Linked DNA regions of Nothobranchius furzeri. The protein of the gene in region 1 purifies or fractionates together with the protein of each later gene. This does not show direct contact. Links are inferred from orthologs where the notes say so. Each region holds a gene or a part of one and is shown in the gene's direction. Other genes may lie near its edges.

Region 1 (5,581 bases):
CCTGCTGGTAGTAGACATCAGAAAATGGGTCCATGTAATAAAAGATGGACAGCAACAATACTCAATTGGTGCTAATAAGTTGGACAAGAACATCTCCACATGATTACACCAGCAGCAGATGGATCCATGTTTTTATGATGACACCAAATTCTGACCCTAGCATCTGAATGTTGCAGCAGACATCCAGACTCATCAGACTTGGGGAAACATTTTTCCCGTCTCCTATCGTTGAATAGATCCTGTGATATGTGTAGCTACAGTTTCCTGTTTTTACCTGACAGGTGTGACACCCGCTGTGGTTCAAGGTTCAACATGTTGTTTACTGACCTTTGTTGAAACTAGTGACCATTTGATCTTCTTTGATAACCTCAAACCAGTCTGCCCTTCCCCTTTGACCTCTGACATCAATGAGACTTGTTCAACCACACAGCTGCTGCTCACTGGGATTATCTGTTTTTTAGGGCTAGGGGTAAACGGTTATTTTTAAAACGATTATTCTGACGATTATTTTATCGAATAGTCAACTATTCTAATGACTATTTAGACAATTAATCTAATGATTAAATTTCTATTGCACAGTTAATAAAAACAAAAAAAATCTAATAAATTCCTCAAAAAATTGATAAGTTGTTACTGTAAGAGAATAAACACTACAGGCCTTCCATTTTGTATAACACTGCTTTTATTGTGTTGCGATTGGTTGTGTTCTGGTGACGTGTAGAACGTGGGAGTGCAGGCTGCTGCCTGAGAGGTGGTTGGAGATGGAGTGTCTCCATGCTGCTTTGTTTTGGTCACTTATGTGCGTGAGGCGAGTGGTGTTACAACCCTTCCTGGGGAGTTTGGCTTGTGTGCAAAAAGGAAGGGACAATAACACGGGATTTAAAAGTTAAAATGATGATCAGATTTATTTACAACTACAAAAAAAAAACATAAATCTTTCCATCCACCGGTTGGGAATAATAAAACTTAATTCTGCCTGTGGGGGATTAAAACAAAGTACAAATAAGTAGGGATGTCCCACTGGGCAAAGATTACTGGGTTCTGGACCAAAATAAGAATCTCCAAAGGTCCAAACTCTAAACTGGGCGGTTAAACCAAACTCGAGGTGATATTTTAAACTAAACCGAAAACCCACAACACTCTAAATGGAATAAAAGGGAGATCTGCACCACAAAAAAGATGAACTCTAAACCAAAACGTAACAGCTTATCCAAACGCAAGAAGCTGTTAGCGAAAGTGCTAACAGTAGCTTTACCAACGTTAAGTTCAAGTTACCAAGTTTAAATAAACCAAAAACACCCAGCAGCAAACAGACCAGCACGGAGGAGAGACTGCTACCACAAAAACAGCTCTCCTAATGTCTGAAAGAAGCTCCTTTATGAAGGGAGAAACGCTCCCGGTGATTTTCTACATCTGCGATAGAGACGAAGCAGCGCATCTGACCCCGGAAGTTGTTGTCCGTTGCCGGGAGACGAAGGCGGGCAAAACAGGAAAGGAATACGTTGTTCCGGGTCTTCTGTATTTGGTGGAGATGTTAGTGAAGGCGGAGAAGAGGGCGAACTGGAGGAAAAACAGGCAGATTCCACCTCTATTTACAAACTCCTGGGGATGCAACAAGTGGGCGTGGTGCGTCGACTACCGGATCTGACGTCGACAAATTTTTAGAATCGAGACATCTACATCATCGAGGCTTCGCTACAGCCCTACTGTTTTTCTCCTAGAAATGGTTGTGGGGGGAAATCCATGTAGACCAGCAGAATCATGAAAACAAGGGACCACATTTCTCCAGTGCTGGATTCTCTTCGCTGGCTCCCAGTCTCATACCGGGCACAGTCTAAAATTCTGCTTTTTGTGTCTTAAGATTTTCCAAGGCAGTGCCCCCACCTACTTAGTGGAGCTCTTAATAAAGCATGTTCCCTCAAGGTCATTACGGTCCGCTGACCAGGTCCCTCGCACCCGATTTAAGACTCGTGGTGATAGGGCTTTTCAAGTCCTTGCACCTTCTCTCTGGAACCAGCTCCCAGTCACAATCAAACAGTCCCCATCACTGGCAGTCTTTAAGAGCAGGTTGAAGACTCATTTTTATAGGATGGCTTTCTCCTAAAGCTTTTGGTTTCTGGTTTGAATTTTGTTGTTCTTAGCTTTCTTTTAACTAATGAATTTTAATTTTCTTTTATCTAAATTTTATCTCATTGGCATTTTATTGTTCTCATAAAGGTCTATGTTCTTATTTGTTTTGAATGTTTTTATGACTTGCTACTTTTATCTTTGTTACTTGTCCAGCGCCTTGGGCCCCCTTTGAGGGTGGTGGAAAGCGCCATATAAATAAAACCTGATGGACTGATTGATTGAAACATCCTGTTTCTTCTCCATTTTTAAAGGTTGACTTTAGTCATATTTTAATACACGGTGGTTTATATTAGGAATGACTTCCTTGTAAGTCGACTTCCTTGTAAGTCGTACTCTGGGGGAAAAAAGCTCCTGTTTGAGGAACTAGAAGTCAAGGGAGAGATTAGTTGAACACAGCAGAATTTGGAGTATTATTTCCTGATATTCAGATATCTCACTTCTGATTGGCTAACAGCAACATGACTCTACCACTGACTCTGGTTGCTTTTCAATGTTGACATTTTATCTCCACAAATAACACAAGCCTGAAGGAGTTCTGCTGTGTGGTGGAGTTGCTAATGCTAATGGTTAGCTTCCACTAGCCAAGATGTTCTCTGCTGATTCTTGGACGCTAAACCAACAACAGCCTACCACATCAAGAGTCAAGATGGGTGAGTCCATGAATGTTAAGCGACAGTGTGACGTAGATCTGTCAGGATTTTCTAATTCGAAGAGTTTCAGCGTCTTATTTTCTATCAGCGGCTAATGCAGGAAAGAGGGGTAGAAGACTGTTTTCATCTTCAGCTTGCATGTTCAACTCTGAGTGACTGATCGTTTTCCAAAACAACAAGTAAAAATGGTTTCTAAGTGAACCTTGTCCTGAATGCTCATTTTGAATTTAAGTAAGTGAACTTCACATCTAAATGCCTACATACTAGGGGTAGACCAATATATCGGTGAGCCGATGTATCGGGCCGATATTTACTGTATTTATACATCAGCAGCGGCCTATATTTGTCATTAGTAAAGCAGATTTAAAGTCGGGCACATCCTCAGGCAGTCCAACGTTGTTGCAGAATTTTATTTAAAGGTGCAGTATGTAAGAATATAGTGAGAGTTGTTCAGTGAGAAAATCCCAAACGAGAAATGTTTGTCATTTTGGAAGGAAAGTTATTCTGGAACATATTTCATTCAGTCATTAGGGGTAGCAGTAGCTCAACGGGTTGAGCGGTTTGTCCAGTAATCGGAAGGTTGCCGGTTCGATCCCAGCTCCGGACAGAGAATTCTGCTGTTGTGTCCTTGGGCAAGACACTTAACCTACCTTGCCTGCTGGTGGTGGTCGGAGGGACCGGTGGCGCCTGTGCTCGGCAGCCTCGCCTCTGTCAGTGCACCCCAGGGCAGTTGTGGCTACATTGTAGCTCATCCACCTCTGAGAGGCGATATACAAGTGCGGGTCATTTATCATTATCAATTCATATCCAGCTGGCTGCGTGGATTGTCACGTTTGTCTCCTTTCAAAACAACAGAAGTAGGGACGTAACTAATGTTTACCATCAGTGAGTGTGGAGTTGCCGTGTCTCCTGTGAGCTAATACTGTAGCGCCGACGATTGTAATTTGACGGCAGCCGGCAAAAAGCTACAGAGTAGTTTAAAGTGGTTGCACTAACCACATTTTACCACAGGATGTCATTTTTACTTCTACATAATGCACCTTTAAATGTATTTTTGTGCTCACTAATGACAATAAATGCTCCAAACTAACTTTATTTAGGTGTCTGACTTTAACACAGAGCAGTGCACAAAGTTAATAATGAGCAGTTAGTTTAATTTAGAGTTTAAAACTGATTCAGCTTCAGAAATTTTGTGCATCAACTGATGTCATCAGTGACATTTTAGCATGGAAAACATCCAGGTATCGGCCATGAAAATCTGCAGTACACATCAGCCATCAGCTAACCATGCCTCCTGCATTTCGACATCGGTATCGGAAAAAAAAAACAAAAAAAAACAGTATCGGTTGACCAGTAATACACACACAAGATTTTCTTTTGTAATTTAAACATTTTAAATTCTAGTTTATTCTTCCAGATGGATTGAATTGAAGTCCAAAATGATGGCAGGAAGGCTGAGGATCCTCCTCCTGCTCTTTGAGGTGAAAAAAATTTTTAAGACGCAAATGCATGTTAGTGGGAAACCCTGCCTTCATTTTCCTGCTCATTGTTTATCGTTACTTTCAGTTCACATTCATCTTTGCCGCTACGCTCAACTTAGTTACACCCAAGTGTCCAGTCGGTGACTACGAAAACAAAGATGGAATATGCTGCAACAAATGTCCTGCAGGTAACCTTTACACGTGACGGGACCTGTAAAGAATGTGAATTCTGACTTTGCGTTTACTTCTGTGGGATCATTTTGTTTTCAGGGTTTAAGCTGGTTGCAGAGTGTCACAGTGAAGGTCACAGAAGTAATTGCACACCCTGTCCTGCTCGGCAGTTCTCCGACCAGATAAACAACGCTTTCCAGTGCAGAAAGTGCAAAACCTGCAGAGGTGTGACTTTAACTTCTCCAGACTTCATTTCTCAGCTTGCACAGCATCAGATTAGCTGTAAAAGCTTTAATTTTGTCAACTTTTCTGCAGCAGCACGAAATGAAGTTGAGGTTTCACCTTGTAGAGCAGCTCAAAACACCATCTGTGGCTGTAAGGTCGGCTATTACAAAAACCACATTGACAGTGAAACGGTTGAGTGCCTCAAGTGTTCGAGATGCAAACCAGATGAAACGGAGGAGCATGCATGTGAGTCTTTAAAGATTCTTCTGTAATAAATTAAACAACCACTCCGTGGTAAAGCCAGTTTTGTTTTCACAGGTACTCGAGAGAGAGACACCGTGTGTGGCTGTAAGGAAAACTTCTACAGAGTCAGAAACAAGTGTGAACCTTGCAGGAAGTGAGTGCATCGCTGTCCGACGAGTCCTTGGTTCTCGTTTTGTTTCCATCTTCGAGTTTGGGAAGGTTTTTTTGTAACATTTTAATTAAGGAAGTTGGTTTGTAGAAATGAAACTTGCAGCTCACTTCCGACTTTGTTCAAGCTTTCCATTTGTTAGCAATACAGGAGAGAAGTTATGACACACACGTCTTGAGACTCGCTAAAAAAAACCTTTCTTATTCGCGTCTACTAAAAGTCTGTTAGCGTATAATGACCTCTCTTATCTTCTCCTAAAATGCTGCGTTGAGTGTTTTTATTTTTGGTTCTTATAGTCGAAGATGTTTGACACAAATCAAACAAGGAAGCACAAAAACTTGCAGCTCAAACTTCCTATATTTCTGTCATGTTTACATCCTGGTTTGCATAAACATAAGAATCTTTCTGAGTTACTGGGACAGTGACTGGTTCAGCTCAACTTTCTGTGTAGTCGAACTTTGAAACCAGAGCTACAGAAAGCTGGAGTTAAAAAAAATACATGTCAGCCTTTG
Region 2 (6,324 bases), on another chromosome or scaffold:
AAAGCAGAAGTAGAAGAAAAATCTTTCCTCACAAACGATTCTGCACCTGAAACTTCATTAAATCTATTTATGGCCAACGTTTCTCATTTAAGAGACCTTGTGGATTCTTACCTGAGCAGGTAGTTAATGCACTGCTGTTCAATATCACTGAAAGTAAATCACACATAAATATTTCAGCGTGTGGGGGTGTCGTACTGTACAATCCCACCGCATAGAGCTGAGTAATCCTAAAATAAAACAAGCAATAGCCTCGTAGCCATCTGAAGATTTACTTTGTGATTCAGGTCAATGGAACAAAGAGGTTTTTCATGATTTTTGTAAAAAAACAAAAAAAAAAAACAGTTTTCATTTTAATAGTTTGTTTGATCTGTAGTAACACAAAAGTGAGACTTAGAATGACTAACCTCAGATTACTGGCCTTGTGCTGAACGTGAAACACCCTGTATGCACCTGAGCACATAGCAGATCATTCATCAGCAGGCCCTTGAAACCAGCCTCTAACAGCAGCACCTTAGACTTACCGACACAGAAAAGATGGCAAAAGGCCCACAGGTAGGCACTGTAGTCAAACTGTAAATAAAACATATAAAATAAGACGATCCGACACATAATCCACCTTCGAAGGACGGGGAATCGTTACCTGAGGGTCAAACAGGGGAAGGTTGATGGCCGACAGCAGCATCAGCAGGACGCTGCAGGAAAAGGGACATTAAAGTGTTATGAGTTCAGAATGTGAATGTTTTATTTCCGAGGTTTTACAATAGAAAACAAAATTAAGATCATTTCAGGTAAATGTTTTTAAGATTCATCGCAGCTAAATAGAAATGCATACCTGATGGATTTGAGCCATGATGTCCTCTGAGATCAAAGAGCCAGATAACATGTTAGATACACGTTAATTACAATATGATTATACCGCTGAAGGAAAATCAAAGGTAATGCACAGATCTGAGCATCAGCAGACTCACATCTCTGTGAAGAATCCTGATCATCATGTAACTCACAACAAAAGAGGAATTCTGCATGGTGAAGTAAAAAGGAATGTCCTGCACAGAGAAAGAAACAGCATCTAGGACCCAACATGTCCAGGAAGTCGTAATCGTGTTGATATTTTTTATTTCTGATGAGTGTTTGACTCTGAATCTGTTAACTCACGATGTGAGAGAGCGCTCTTGACCCTGCATAGATGTTTCCTACAAACAGGAATGAGCCCGGGAGCCAGGAGAGAGCAGCAGATCTGTCAAGCATCAACATATGTAATTAGAGAATAAGTCAGGGTAAAATAAACTCCACAGCAGGTAATAGTCAGATAAAAGAACCTGCTGATGTGTCTCATTTCCACCCAGCCCAGTTTCCCAGCCAGCAGGAGCAGCACAGCTCCCATTAACGTCTGCCATCTGAAAAAGAGGTAAAAAGAAGTAATGATCAAGTTGCTTTTGTATTTAAAAGTTTGTTTTCAGGGACTTACCCTTGGAATAAAGTTGGATAGGTGAACTTTAGCACAGACAGTACAAACTGCAGAAGAAAAAAACAACCATGTCTCAGGTCCTCATTTGTGATATTTTAAATCCAAAAAGCGCCCAAAAACGATCAGATAAAGCCACCCAAGTCTGATTAAGTGATAGTTTGAGTATGTAAAGTAGATCGAGTTTGTTTCTTCTCCAGGTATAGTGTCACACTCACCTTGTTGGTGAAATGAGTCACAACAAAAACGCAGCTGAACGTGATGCCAGCGACGTGGCTTCTCCAGTGCATGTTGAGCTGCAGACGCACGGCAGCGGGGACATGGTTCCTAACAAATAACACTCAGCATTGGTCTGATTTCAGAGAGGATCGCTTCAACTTCCCTCACTGCTCCCGCACCCGCAGACACGTCAAGAAGCCTCGAAGCAAAGATCGTCTATGACTAAGACGATCCCTCACCAGCACAGAGTCGCGCTCGTTTGTTTTTTGGTATCCTAATGGGATATTTTAGAATATTTATAAATTATGCATTAATAATGTAACTTAACACATCATGTTTGTACTTTTAAGATCTTGATTTAAGTGAGCAGTTGTATAAAATCAGCGGCATCGCCTCTAAACTAGGGAGAGTGAAGCATCTTCACTTTTATTGCTGTGGTGAGAGCTGGTCACGTGACGTCAGTCAAGTTTCCGTGTTTACAGAGCTCGGACGGCGAGCGCCTCGGTGTTGAGTTACACAGGAGGATGCAGCGCGGTCATGGCATTTATTAGGACACAAGAGCGAACAAAAGAAAGGTTTGTTACTCTGGGTTCTGTTTTTATGTTGCTGCTTTCTCCTGGAGGTCATTGTTCGGTGTCTGCGGACTGTTTTCCTCCCCTGCGGATGAATATCAGGGCTGTGCTCTGTCATGAGAGGCTCACTGGCAGTTGTCAGGTGTCTTGTTATTGAAGTCATGCCAGCAGAGCTGTCTTTGTTCCTCAGTCTGAGTGGGAGAGGTCGGGTTGACTCATGACATCTGTTTAATCCCCCAAACTGCCTCCAAAAGCAGAATTCTGTTTTCTTCAGACAAATTCTCACCAGAATAATCATCTGATCGGACACCAGACCAAATCCCAAATGACTCACTTACATTGTTTTATATTCAGTAATGATCTCATTATGGCTTTCTGTAAAATATCCGCTGAGATTTTGAAGAAGATGGGCAGTTTCAGCACAGTCTAATGAATCCGTTACATCTGTGTGAAGTGGAACAATCCTATTAATTTAGGTGGAAACAGAGTTCAATACTTAAAAAAAACACTAGGTCTGGACTAGAGCAGCACCCAAAAATCAGCTGGTGATTGGAATTGGCCCATCTCAAATTCTGATTTTATTTTGGGTCTTTGAATGCACCATTGCCAATCAATCAATTAAAACTTAAATCAACCACCATCACTTTGAGTTAATTAGCACACACAAATACACATGAAGAAATTGTTTACACCCACATTCATAACTTTCAGGTTAATCTGAATTAATATCTGTAAAACCTTACAAAAAATGCAAATCAAAAACATACTTAGGGCTCTTGTCCAGTTAAAAGTCAAAGAATTAAACGAATCAAGCTGTATTCACTCACTAAACTCACAAATCTCCCTGATGTGAAACCAAGGCTTCTTTAAACCCCTCACGTTGATATTAAAGTGAACCTCTTGTTGACTCAAATGTATAAAAATGCAACAATTTAACATTTTATTCCTTGTTTCTCAGTGTTGAAATTAAAGGATTAAATTGTGTTTTAGTTGTGCTTTTGTTTAGTTTTGTTAAAGTGCATCTCATTTGTCCAGATGAGTGCATAAATATTAAACATTGTGCGTTTTACTGCATGAAGCTGTTTGTAGTCTATCTGTTTTTAAAGGCTCATGGGAGCATGAGAGGGACATGACAGACAAACTCAGACATTGACAGCACTCGTCTCCATCTTTCTGTCTCGCTGCTACTGAGATGTGCAGCTGGTCAGATGGACAGGCAGCAGCCATTTCCCAGCTGTTCTCTCTCTAATGCAGCTTCTTCCTTATTTTATTTCCTCAGGTTTTCTCTCTTGTTGCTGGATTTGGAGGAGTATTACTTTGAGCAGCACACTGCATACCATGTGACCAGCGATGCAAAGCAGAGGTTAGTCGTATTCCACCTTACGTTAGTCTAAATGTATAGGTAAATCTGATGTCTCTCAATACAAAGTTCCAATCTGGATTTTTCTCTAGTCCTTAATCTTCACGAATCATCCTAGTTTAGAGTTCTAACATGTCTTTTATTTCTCAGAAGAACCAGAGGGTCCTTGAAGGTTTGCTCAAGATCCATCATTTTTGATCCAGAAGATCTTGGAGAACCAATCCTAAAGGTTTGTTTGAATGTAGCACATTTTATTTATGTCTTTAATTCTGTAATCTAACAGGAGTTAAGGGATTGAACTATAAGATAAAACATAGAAAAATAAAAACTATAGGATAATTATTTAAATTTGCCTTCCATCTGACTGAGACAAACTTCCACCCAAGTGTTAGTAAGATGGCAGAATGAGGGCAAAACACAGCTGCTGCATAAGACAAACCATAAACCACCTGTTTAAACTTATTACCTGTTTGGACATCCAGGCTACCGTAGCTGCACCTTGCTTTTGTGACGGCTTTATGTGTGGTGTTTTGTCCGTCTGACTGATCAATTTGAAGAAGAAGAAGAAGAAAACATCTTTTCTATTGCGCCTCTCAAGATAAAAATCACGAGGCACTTCACAAAAACAAAAAATGTAAAAATATAAAAAATAATTAGAAAATGGTTAAAAATATGTTTAAAATGAGCAAAAAATAGGCAATTGTGATTAAAAAATGTAAAGAAAGAGAGAGAGTGAATAGATAAAAGGGAAATCAGTGGATCCTGAGGAAGGTGGAATAGTTGGGGAGAGCAGAATAGAGAGTGGTGAAGAAGGTCATACAAAAGCCAGCCTGAGCAAGTGAGTCTTCAGCTGCTTTTTAAAGGAGTCCACTGATCTCAGGCTCAGGGGGAGAGAGTTCCAGAGTCTGGGGGCCACAGCAGCAAATGATCTGTCACCTTTGGTCTTTAGCCTGGTGCGTTGCACAACCAGTAGGCTTTGATCACTGGACCTCAGGGACCTGCTGGGGGTGTAGGGACTAAGAAGATCACCAATGTAAGATGGTGCTTGTCCATGTAAGGCCCTATAGACCAGAACCAGGATCTTGAAATGAATCCTGAAGTTGACTGGCAGCCAGTGAAGCTGGAGGAGAAGCGGGGTGATGTGGGTGTGTTTGGAGGACTTGGACAGAAGCCGAGCACAGGCATTCTGAACCACCTGTCGACGGTTCAGGGAGGTTCTGCTCAGACACGTGAAAAAAGAGTTACAGTAGTCTGAGCGCGAGGAGATGAAGGTGTGGAGAACTGTCTCAAGTTCAGAGCGAGACAGAATGGGACTCAGCTTAGCAATGTTCCTGAGATGGAAGAAGGAAGAGCGAACAAGAGAATTGACATGAGAATCCAGGTCGAGAGCTGGGTCAAAGGTCACACCAAGATTCCTGACGGAAGGTTTGGTGAGAGAAGCAAGCTGACCAAGAGAGTCTCTGACTTTGCGAACCAGCTTGTCTGGGGCACAGATGAGGATCTCAGTCTTATCTTCATTCAGCTGAAGAAAGCTCCCAGCCATCCAGGTTTTGATAGAGTCTAAGCAGGTGTGTAACAGCTGCAGCTTAGACATCTCATGGGGCTTAAAGGAGATGTACAGTTGGATGTCATCTGCATACAGATGGTAGGAGATTCCTTTGAAGGAGCTCAGGATGTGCTGAAGAGGAAGCAGATAGAGGAGGAAGAGTAGAGGCCCCAGCACAGAACCTTGGGGGACACCATGGGTAAGAGAGGTGGTGGAGGACCTAAACTTGGAGATGGCCACAGAAAAGGAGCGCTCAGAGAGATAAGAGGAGAACCACTCCAGAGCATTTCCTGATAGGCTTACCCAGTCTCTGAGCCTCTCCAGTAGCAGGTGATGGTCAACAGTGTCAAAGGCTGCAGTCAGGTCCAGCAGGACCAGAACAGAACAGTCCCCTGCATCACTGTGAGTCAGAAGGTCATTAGAGACCCTAAGAAGAGCTGTTTCAGTAGAATGAGCTCTACGAAAACCTGACTGGAAGCTATCATAGATGTTATGTTCATCAAGAGCAGCTGTGAGTTGTTTAGCCACAACCTTTTCCAAGATCTTGGAGATGAACGGAAGTTTAGAGATGGGTCTGAAGCTGCTATGGAGAGAGGGGTCAAGACTCGGTTTTTTAAGAAGCGGGTGGATTACAGCGTTCTTAAAGTAAGCAGGGACCTGACCAGAAACCAGAGAAGCATTAATTATAGAGAGCACGCTGGGACCGATGGACTGAAAAGCACTTTTAAACAAAGATGAGGGTAAGATGTGGAGGGGGCATGCAGAGGTCTTCATAGAGTTACCTAGTTTGGTTAACTCAGGCAAAGAAACAGGAGCAAAGCTATCTAGGATGATGGGTCTGGTTGGAGTCGGGAGAGGCAGCGATAAGGCTGAAGGAGAGATGCTAGATCTGACCTTATTGACTTTGTCCACAAAGAAAGACAGAAAGTTCTCACAGTCTGCAACAGAGTGGATGGAGGCTGTAGGAGGGGCAGGAGAGACGATGCTGCTGATGGTGTTAAACAGCACCTTGGGGTTCCCTTTGCTCTGGGACACCAGGTTGGAGAAATAGGAAACCCTAGCGTCTCTGACTGCAGAGTTAAAGGATGACAGAAGATCCTTTAGGTGCAGCAGATGGACGTGGAGATGGGTTTTCTTCCACAAGCGCTCAATTTTTCTGTAT
Region 3 (6,050 bases), on another chromosome or scaffold:
ATAATTTATACGTGACAAGATATGAATAATGAGAGGGGGTGTGGTGGATGCTAGATGTTGTAGCAACCGTTCTTTGTATCAGAGAGAAATTATGAAATCTGGATTGTAAAATAATCTGTTGTTTGTTATAAACTAGAGAGCTGTTTGTTTAAGCTCATCAGACGCAATCTGTGCCAATCTACGCACCCTTGGTGTGGAGGTTCTCGTTCGATCCGGGGGGTCGATGGTCACTGCTGGTGGAGTGAACTCTGATATCAGGAACCCGTAGACAGCTCCGATAGGACCCGTCCAGTCTGAGATCCTCCAGGTGAAGGCAGGAAGCTGGAATGCTTATTTGCGTCTAAGGCTGATGTTTGTTTGGCTCTTAGAAGAGCCGTCTGGCTGTGTCAGCTTACAGCGTCGCAGAGAGGCTTTTGACTGGAGGTCAAAGGAGATGGTTTCAAAAGCGGCTTCTTTCCCGAAGTGGCCAGTTCGAGGGTCAGCTAGAAACTGAATTAATCGGGAATTAATTCTCATTTTATTAAACCCCAATGTTATGAGTTAGGCCAAGTTTAGCAAATCAGAGTTTGACACATTATGAGTATTTACGAACATCCCTCAGACAGCCACGCCTCCTCAGATACAAGGATGTTTTTAACACTTTGTGAATGAGAGTCTTGAAACTCTTATGTGATGTGAATTTTAACCTTAATGAGTATCTTATTGTAATGTGTGTGAGTGTTAATAATGATTAACTTGTTAAATCAAACACATAAGATCTGAAATGGAAAATTGTATGAACAATATTCTTTTTAAAGCCATCATGGTTAAAGCACAGATCATTCAAACATTTCATATAAACATCTTGTTCATTCAACACATATGATTATTTAACTTATAAGTTGTAAAGTCTTGTAGGATTCAAGTAGGTTTGATCTCTATTTAAGGCGAGGAATCAATAGTCTGGCTTCTACGCAGAGTGCAGGACCTTGGGTGAGAACGTTTGTGTGTATGTTTTGTCTTCTGGTATGTCAACAAGCACTGGGCAGAACCTTCTGGGTTTGGAAGACCAAACAGAGAGTGGATTTATTTCTGTAGATGAAAGGGTATTATGTTGGTCGATATAAAGGTGAAAATTGACCCTTTTGGACGTTACACAGATATAAAAGACAGATTTAATAGGAAAAATTAAACACGGATGAATCACATTCTACACAGACAACATATAATTAATAATAAAAATGAGAGAAAAAAGGGATCTGTTTACAGCGACATGGACAGAGAGCGCTCTCGCAGTTTGGAAGGATTTCCTGTGGAGATCAGTGGAGCATCCTGGTGGAATAAATCTGTTACTTGGTGCGCGTCACGAATCATGTATTAGTCTAGTCTTTTATTTTTATTTCAAAAACTTCACGAGCATCTTCTGAGACAGCTGTTTTAGAAAATAATCAAGTGCATTTTTTGGACATTTATTATTTTGGACAAAGCGCGCTTTTGCAGATAGTTTTCATTACGTCACATTATCTTATTCATATAAATGTTTTTATTTAAATATTTCTCCATCACTGACGATACGCAGCATGGAGGCACACTGCAACCTATCTGTTTTCCTGCCGTCGATGGGAAAACCCCTCATGGTGAACTTGGTTGAAAACACAGCAAACAGCCAATCAGCGCTAGACTAAGAATTCAGTGACCAATCACCGTCAGAAAACGTAATGACATCACATATTGTCCGTGGTGCTGTCGTCTCCTGAAAATAATAAACGTATGCACCGAGAGGTTATTATTTCACTTATTTTAAATGTGGAGCAGAAGATCTCAATGTAGCTAGGAGCCTTTAGAGGGTGGCAGTCTCCTGCCAGTCTCCCCGCTTCTGCCGACCTGCTCGCTCGGCTCATTTCTGCGTGATTCGGACGCTAGCATTAGCCTAGCCACTTAGCTGCTCCGAGGTTAATACGAGAGATGTCTGTGAAGGTCTGACTGGGATGGGCGAATGAGATGATCTGTCAGTCATCTGCAGCCTACAAGTGACCCGACCCGAATCGAAGGTAAGCTGTTCCTGACGGAGGTATTGAACGTGAGCGAGTGTGTGTGTGGCCGTTAAGCCACTGCCCTCCCGGAGGGCCCGTGACCGACAGCCTCCGCCCGGTGACACGCCGCTGCGGGGTTGGCAAGGAAAGCCCTGAACTAAAATCAGCTGTGTTCAGCTTTTCGCTGCTAACGTCAAAGACACGGCTACGTAAATGCGTGATCGGTCCGTGTCGTGTTGAATTTGGTGCCGGTGGTCTTGTTTTCGTCCTGCTTCTGGTTGTTTATTCGGATCTGGTGTCCTCCTTGAGACGAAGGACGGATGTGGACTTGCTGAAGATTTGATCCGACACGAGATGAGGGGAAGTCCACCGGCTGGTATCAGTGTGTGTGTGTGTGTGTGTGTGTGTGTGTGTGTGTGTGTGTGTGTGTGTGTGTGTGTGCGTGTGTGTGTGTGTCAGGGTAACTGCATGCTCCTCATCTGAGCTCTTTCATATCAGCAGATCTAAGTCCACACGCACACACACACACATGCGGGCATACTCAGCTGTTTGGGTTCTCGTGGGAAAATGCAAAAGCCCCAGACCTTTAATATGCTCTGATAAAACGTATTAAAATACCCTGAAATACTTTTTAGGCAATCAGCAAACTACTGAAACCATTCTCATTGTTTTGAATTATTTCAGTGATTGTAAACACAAAGTCTGGCCTTCATGCTTGACTTTTAAACTATAGTCGTACAAATTCATCACAATTCATTATAAAACAGGATGAGTTTCTTTGGTTTTGTCTGCCTAAAAGATCAAAGAAAGCAGGACAGATCATCTGATCATCTGAGCCCGGCAAGCTGTCCTACATATGTAAATATATAATCTGGCAACAACCCATAAACTCAGTCATCTACGTTGTCTTAAACTCTGCATGCTATTGGACAGCACCAGGACCAATCAGAGCGAGGAATATTGTGACACATCAACTAAAATCGGTCAGTGGGGCAGTCTGCCATGCACAGGTGAAGAAGTACAAGAAGAACCTGTATCTGCTCATGTCTAAATCGTCCAAAGTTGATGCCAAAGTGAGCATCCTGAGCCACCACCATCATTCCTGTTTTGATCCTTCACAGCTCTGCCCATCATTTTGGACAGCAAAGCTGTCTGAGAGCTGTGATTGGCTCAGCCTAAACAAAGCTGAGCCAATTGTAGACCTGCTGAAGCTAGACCAACCCACAGAGTGAAATCCTTTTGTGCTGCTATGGTTTGTCTAGATTTCTAGGCTAGAACAGATGATCAGAAACGCCTGAGAACCCTTTTGGGTAGCTCTTGAGCACAACATTGTGTGTGATCCAAAGCTGGTGTGACAGCAGGACCAGGTGCCCAGGGGCGCCTCCAGAAAATTTTGAAAGGGGTGGCCAGATGGGGCCAAATACATTTTTGGGGTGGCACACCAAATTGGTCCTTGTGGGTAACTGTGGGACGGTTTGTCCTGTAGCAATGTATTGCATTGCTCCTTTATTCATTTTTATATAATAAGAAAAAGCACTACGTATCTAAAACATTTAACTAAAATTTTACAAACACAAACATTTCAGTTATTTAAAATGTTATCCCTAATTTAATTTAAAGTGAAATATTTTTAGGTTAATTCACCTGCTGCTGTGTTCACAAAAAAAAACTATGGAGATAAAATTTTTTGAAAATGGCGAGCAGCGGAAACACACGCATTTGTTTTTTTATTCCGATTACTCCTTTACTTATTAATTGTATTATTTTTATTTAGTTTTACAATGATGTCTTGAATAAACAAGATCAATATATGGTTTGACTGAACATTCATATGATTTGTGAACACCGACTTTTCCTGGGGGGGGGGGGAAGCTCTTTTCTAGGGGTGGCCATGGCCACCCCTTGGGGGCGCCTTTGCAGGTGCCTCGGCTGATACGTGATAAATTGTCGGGACTGGCCTGGAGGTGGTTGATCAGTTTACAGCCGTTAGTGAGCAGACAAGACGGATGGGGTCTTCCTCAGAGCCAGCGTTTGTAGGGAAACCAGTCAGCTACCAATATGTTGAATTTGAACTAAACCTGTTCGAGCTAGTTTTGTGCTTTCTTAGGTGACTTGGCTATAAAAAGCCTGTTTTGATTCATGTATGCTTTTTTAGACTTCCAGGTTTTAATTAAGCAAAACCTTCCTGAGAAACTCACCCACGTGTGTTTTCCTCCAGCCCAGTGGCCAAGCTCGCCTTGGACTCCAGTCTGCCATGCAGCCATGAGCTCCACCCTGTGGAGCCAGGAGAAGCCCAGCGGGGGCTTCAGGGAGGACTGGCGCTTCTACATGGTCGTGAAGGAATGTACCGTGGAGAAGCCCGCCCAGAAGACCCTGAGGATCCCCCGTGGTAGTCTTGGCCAGGCCTGCCAGGAGCGCAACAGCCTGGGGCGAACGTTGCCCCCATGTAAGGGCAAGAAAAGCCTGCGCATTCTGGACCAGACCAACATGGTTCTGAGTCTGGATGAGCGGGACGTCCTGGAGCTGGATGAGAAGCTGGCTGAGTTGCTGTTCCCCATCACCAACTGTGAGGAACGCTACGCCCTGCTGTGCGACTCGTCGCGGCTGGAGCGCATCCGGGACATTGACTGTGGGTCTAAAGTACGCGTCCAGCTTCGCTCGGGGGACAAATCTCTACCCGGGGTGGTCCGATTCAAAGGCTCGCTACTCCCTGACCGAGCCCTCTCCGGAATCTGGTTTGGAGTGGAGCTGCTGGTGAGAACGCTTCTTTGATCTGTTATTTTTTCACAGTGATTAATGTTTTTAATTTCTAAACTTTATGCATGATTTTCAGACAGTGAATCACATATGATCAGTGTACATCATTGGCTGTCTTTTTGGTTTTTATCCCAGTGATTATTCACAGCAGTAATTATCAGAACAAACACAAAAAAAACAAACGACATCCCCATTTAAGCAAGAAAAGAAAGAGATATAAATAAATAAATAAATAAATAAAAGACAAAAATAGGAAAAAATAAACGGAACCAGGACAGAACAAATTCTAATAAATTAAAGAAGGTTCCAAATCTGTGCACAAGTAATATTAATGAATTCTAATAATGATCCTAAGTGGTGAGAGTTATCACTGTTAGACTATTAATATTTAACATTTGACCTGTTCATGTTAGGGGTTACTAGGTAGCTTGAAGGTTTCCATGTATTTTAGAAACGGCTGCCATATTTTAATGAATTTAATAGTTGATCCTGTAATGGTTTAATTTACATGTTATTTAATGAGCCATAAGACGTAAGATTCCATAGTAAATATGAAATCAACCTTATGGATCTGTGGTACTGTTCAACCAGAAGATTGGAACTTTTTATTGCAGGGATTAGATAACAGCTTCATATGAACTCAGAGACAACAGAAGAGAGAGTCTGGTTTTAAAAGTTTAAAGATTCATTACTAAACAAACTAAAACTAGACTAACTTTAAACTAAATGTATGGTGTTACTAAGGTGAAATGAGACAGAGAATGGTGTAGTGTGGAATGTTGCTCAGAACCAGCAAATCCGAAGAAACGATTAGTTCTGGTGGGAATGAAGGTGATGTCTTCGCGTTAAGCTTTGGTTAGGAGATTCATAAACACATTCAACGCCATTCTGTCGGTCTACATACCCTGGTGGAAGTCCCCATCTAGATCAGGAGGTGTCGAGGTCCTGCTTGACCTTATGGAGCCGAAGCTTGTAGAAACAGCCGTGGCAGCCGACCACCAGTCTTGAGATACTCCCGGGTCACGACAGTTTTGCTGGCGTCTAGCGAGACCCAAACCTGGGTCGTGATGGTTCAGCTTTTATTCTGAAAGGAACCGTTGCAGCAGGTGGAACAGCAACAGATTTTATCCAGCTTGTCGTTGGTTCTTTCGGCTGAAGAGGAAAGTTACGGATTGGCCACTCCGACAACTTCTCTAGAACGCTTTGAACTGGCGTTAAAGATGACGTGGGCATAGTTTTATACTTCGGATGTTTTGGTTTATGGTCGAATGAAAAGATGAC

Evidence for each region. The genes of interacting proteins can lie anywhere in the genome.
Region 2: the proteins of tnfrsf1a (region 1) and nsmaf purify together in Homo sapiens (affinity purification with western blotting; 3 studies listed by BioGRID and IntAct, with this or other methods). This does not show direct contact. The link is inferred for Nothobranchius furzeri from reciprocal best matches to the Homo sapiens genes TNFRSF1A and NSMAF.
Region 3: the proteins of tnfrsf1a (region 1) and cyld purify together in Homo sapiens (affinity purification with western blotting; 4 studies listed by BioGRID, with this or other methods). This does not show direct contact. The link is inferred for Nothobranchius furzeri from reciprocal best matches to the Homo sapiens genes TNFRSF1A and CYLD.

What each region holds. Positions count from the first base shown.
Region 1 is NC_091745.1:73,833,705-73,839,285, forward strand, and holds part of tnfrsf1a (tumor necrosis factor receptor superfamily member 1A), read left to right. Parts: intron 1-4,197; 5' UTR 4,198-4,219; coding exon 4,220-4,261; intron 4,262-4,346; coding exon 4,347-4,449; intron 4,450-4,531; coding exon 4,532-4,657; intron 4,658-4,747; coding exon 4,748-4,903; intron 4,904-4,975; coding exon 4,976-5,054; intron 5,055-5,581.
Region 2 is NC_091747.1:41,216,656-41,222,979, reverse strand, and holds the start of nsmaf (protein FAN), read left to right. Parts: upstream 1-2,121; 5' UTR 2,122-2,221; coding exon 2,222-2,259; intron 2,260-3,535; coding exon 3,536-3,619; intron 3,620-3,766; coding exon 3,767-3,845; intron 3,846-6,324. Other genes in the region: UDP-N-acetylglucosamine transporter TMEM241 homolog, read right to left, coding at 112-147, 405-450, 522-570, 641-692, 833-858, 969-1,046, 1,156-1,237, 1,320-1,397 and 2 more. UniProt on the Homo sapiens protein: Couples the p55 TNF-receptor (TNF-R55 / TNFR1) to neutral sphingomyelinase (N-SMASE). Specifically binds to the N-smase activation domain of TNF-R55. May regulate ceramide production by N-SMASE.
Region 3 is NC_091749.1:70,971,970-70,978,019, forward strand, and holds the start of cyld (ubiquitin carboxyl-terminal hydrolase CYLD), read left to right. Parts: upstream 1-1,847; 5' UTR 1,848-2,030; intron 2,031-4,230; 5' UTR 4,231-4,274; coding exon 4,275-4,766; intron 4,767-6,050. UniProt on the Homo sapiens protein: Deubiquitinase that specifically cleaves 'Lys-63'- and linear 'Met-1'-linked polyubiquitin chains and is involved in NF-kappa-B activation and TNF-alpha-induced necroptosis.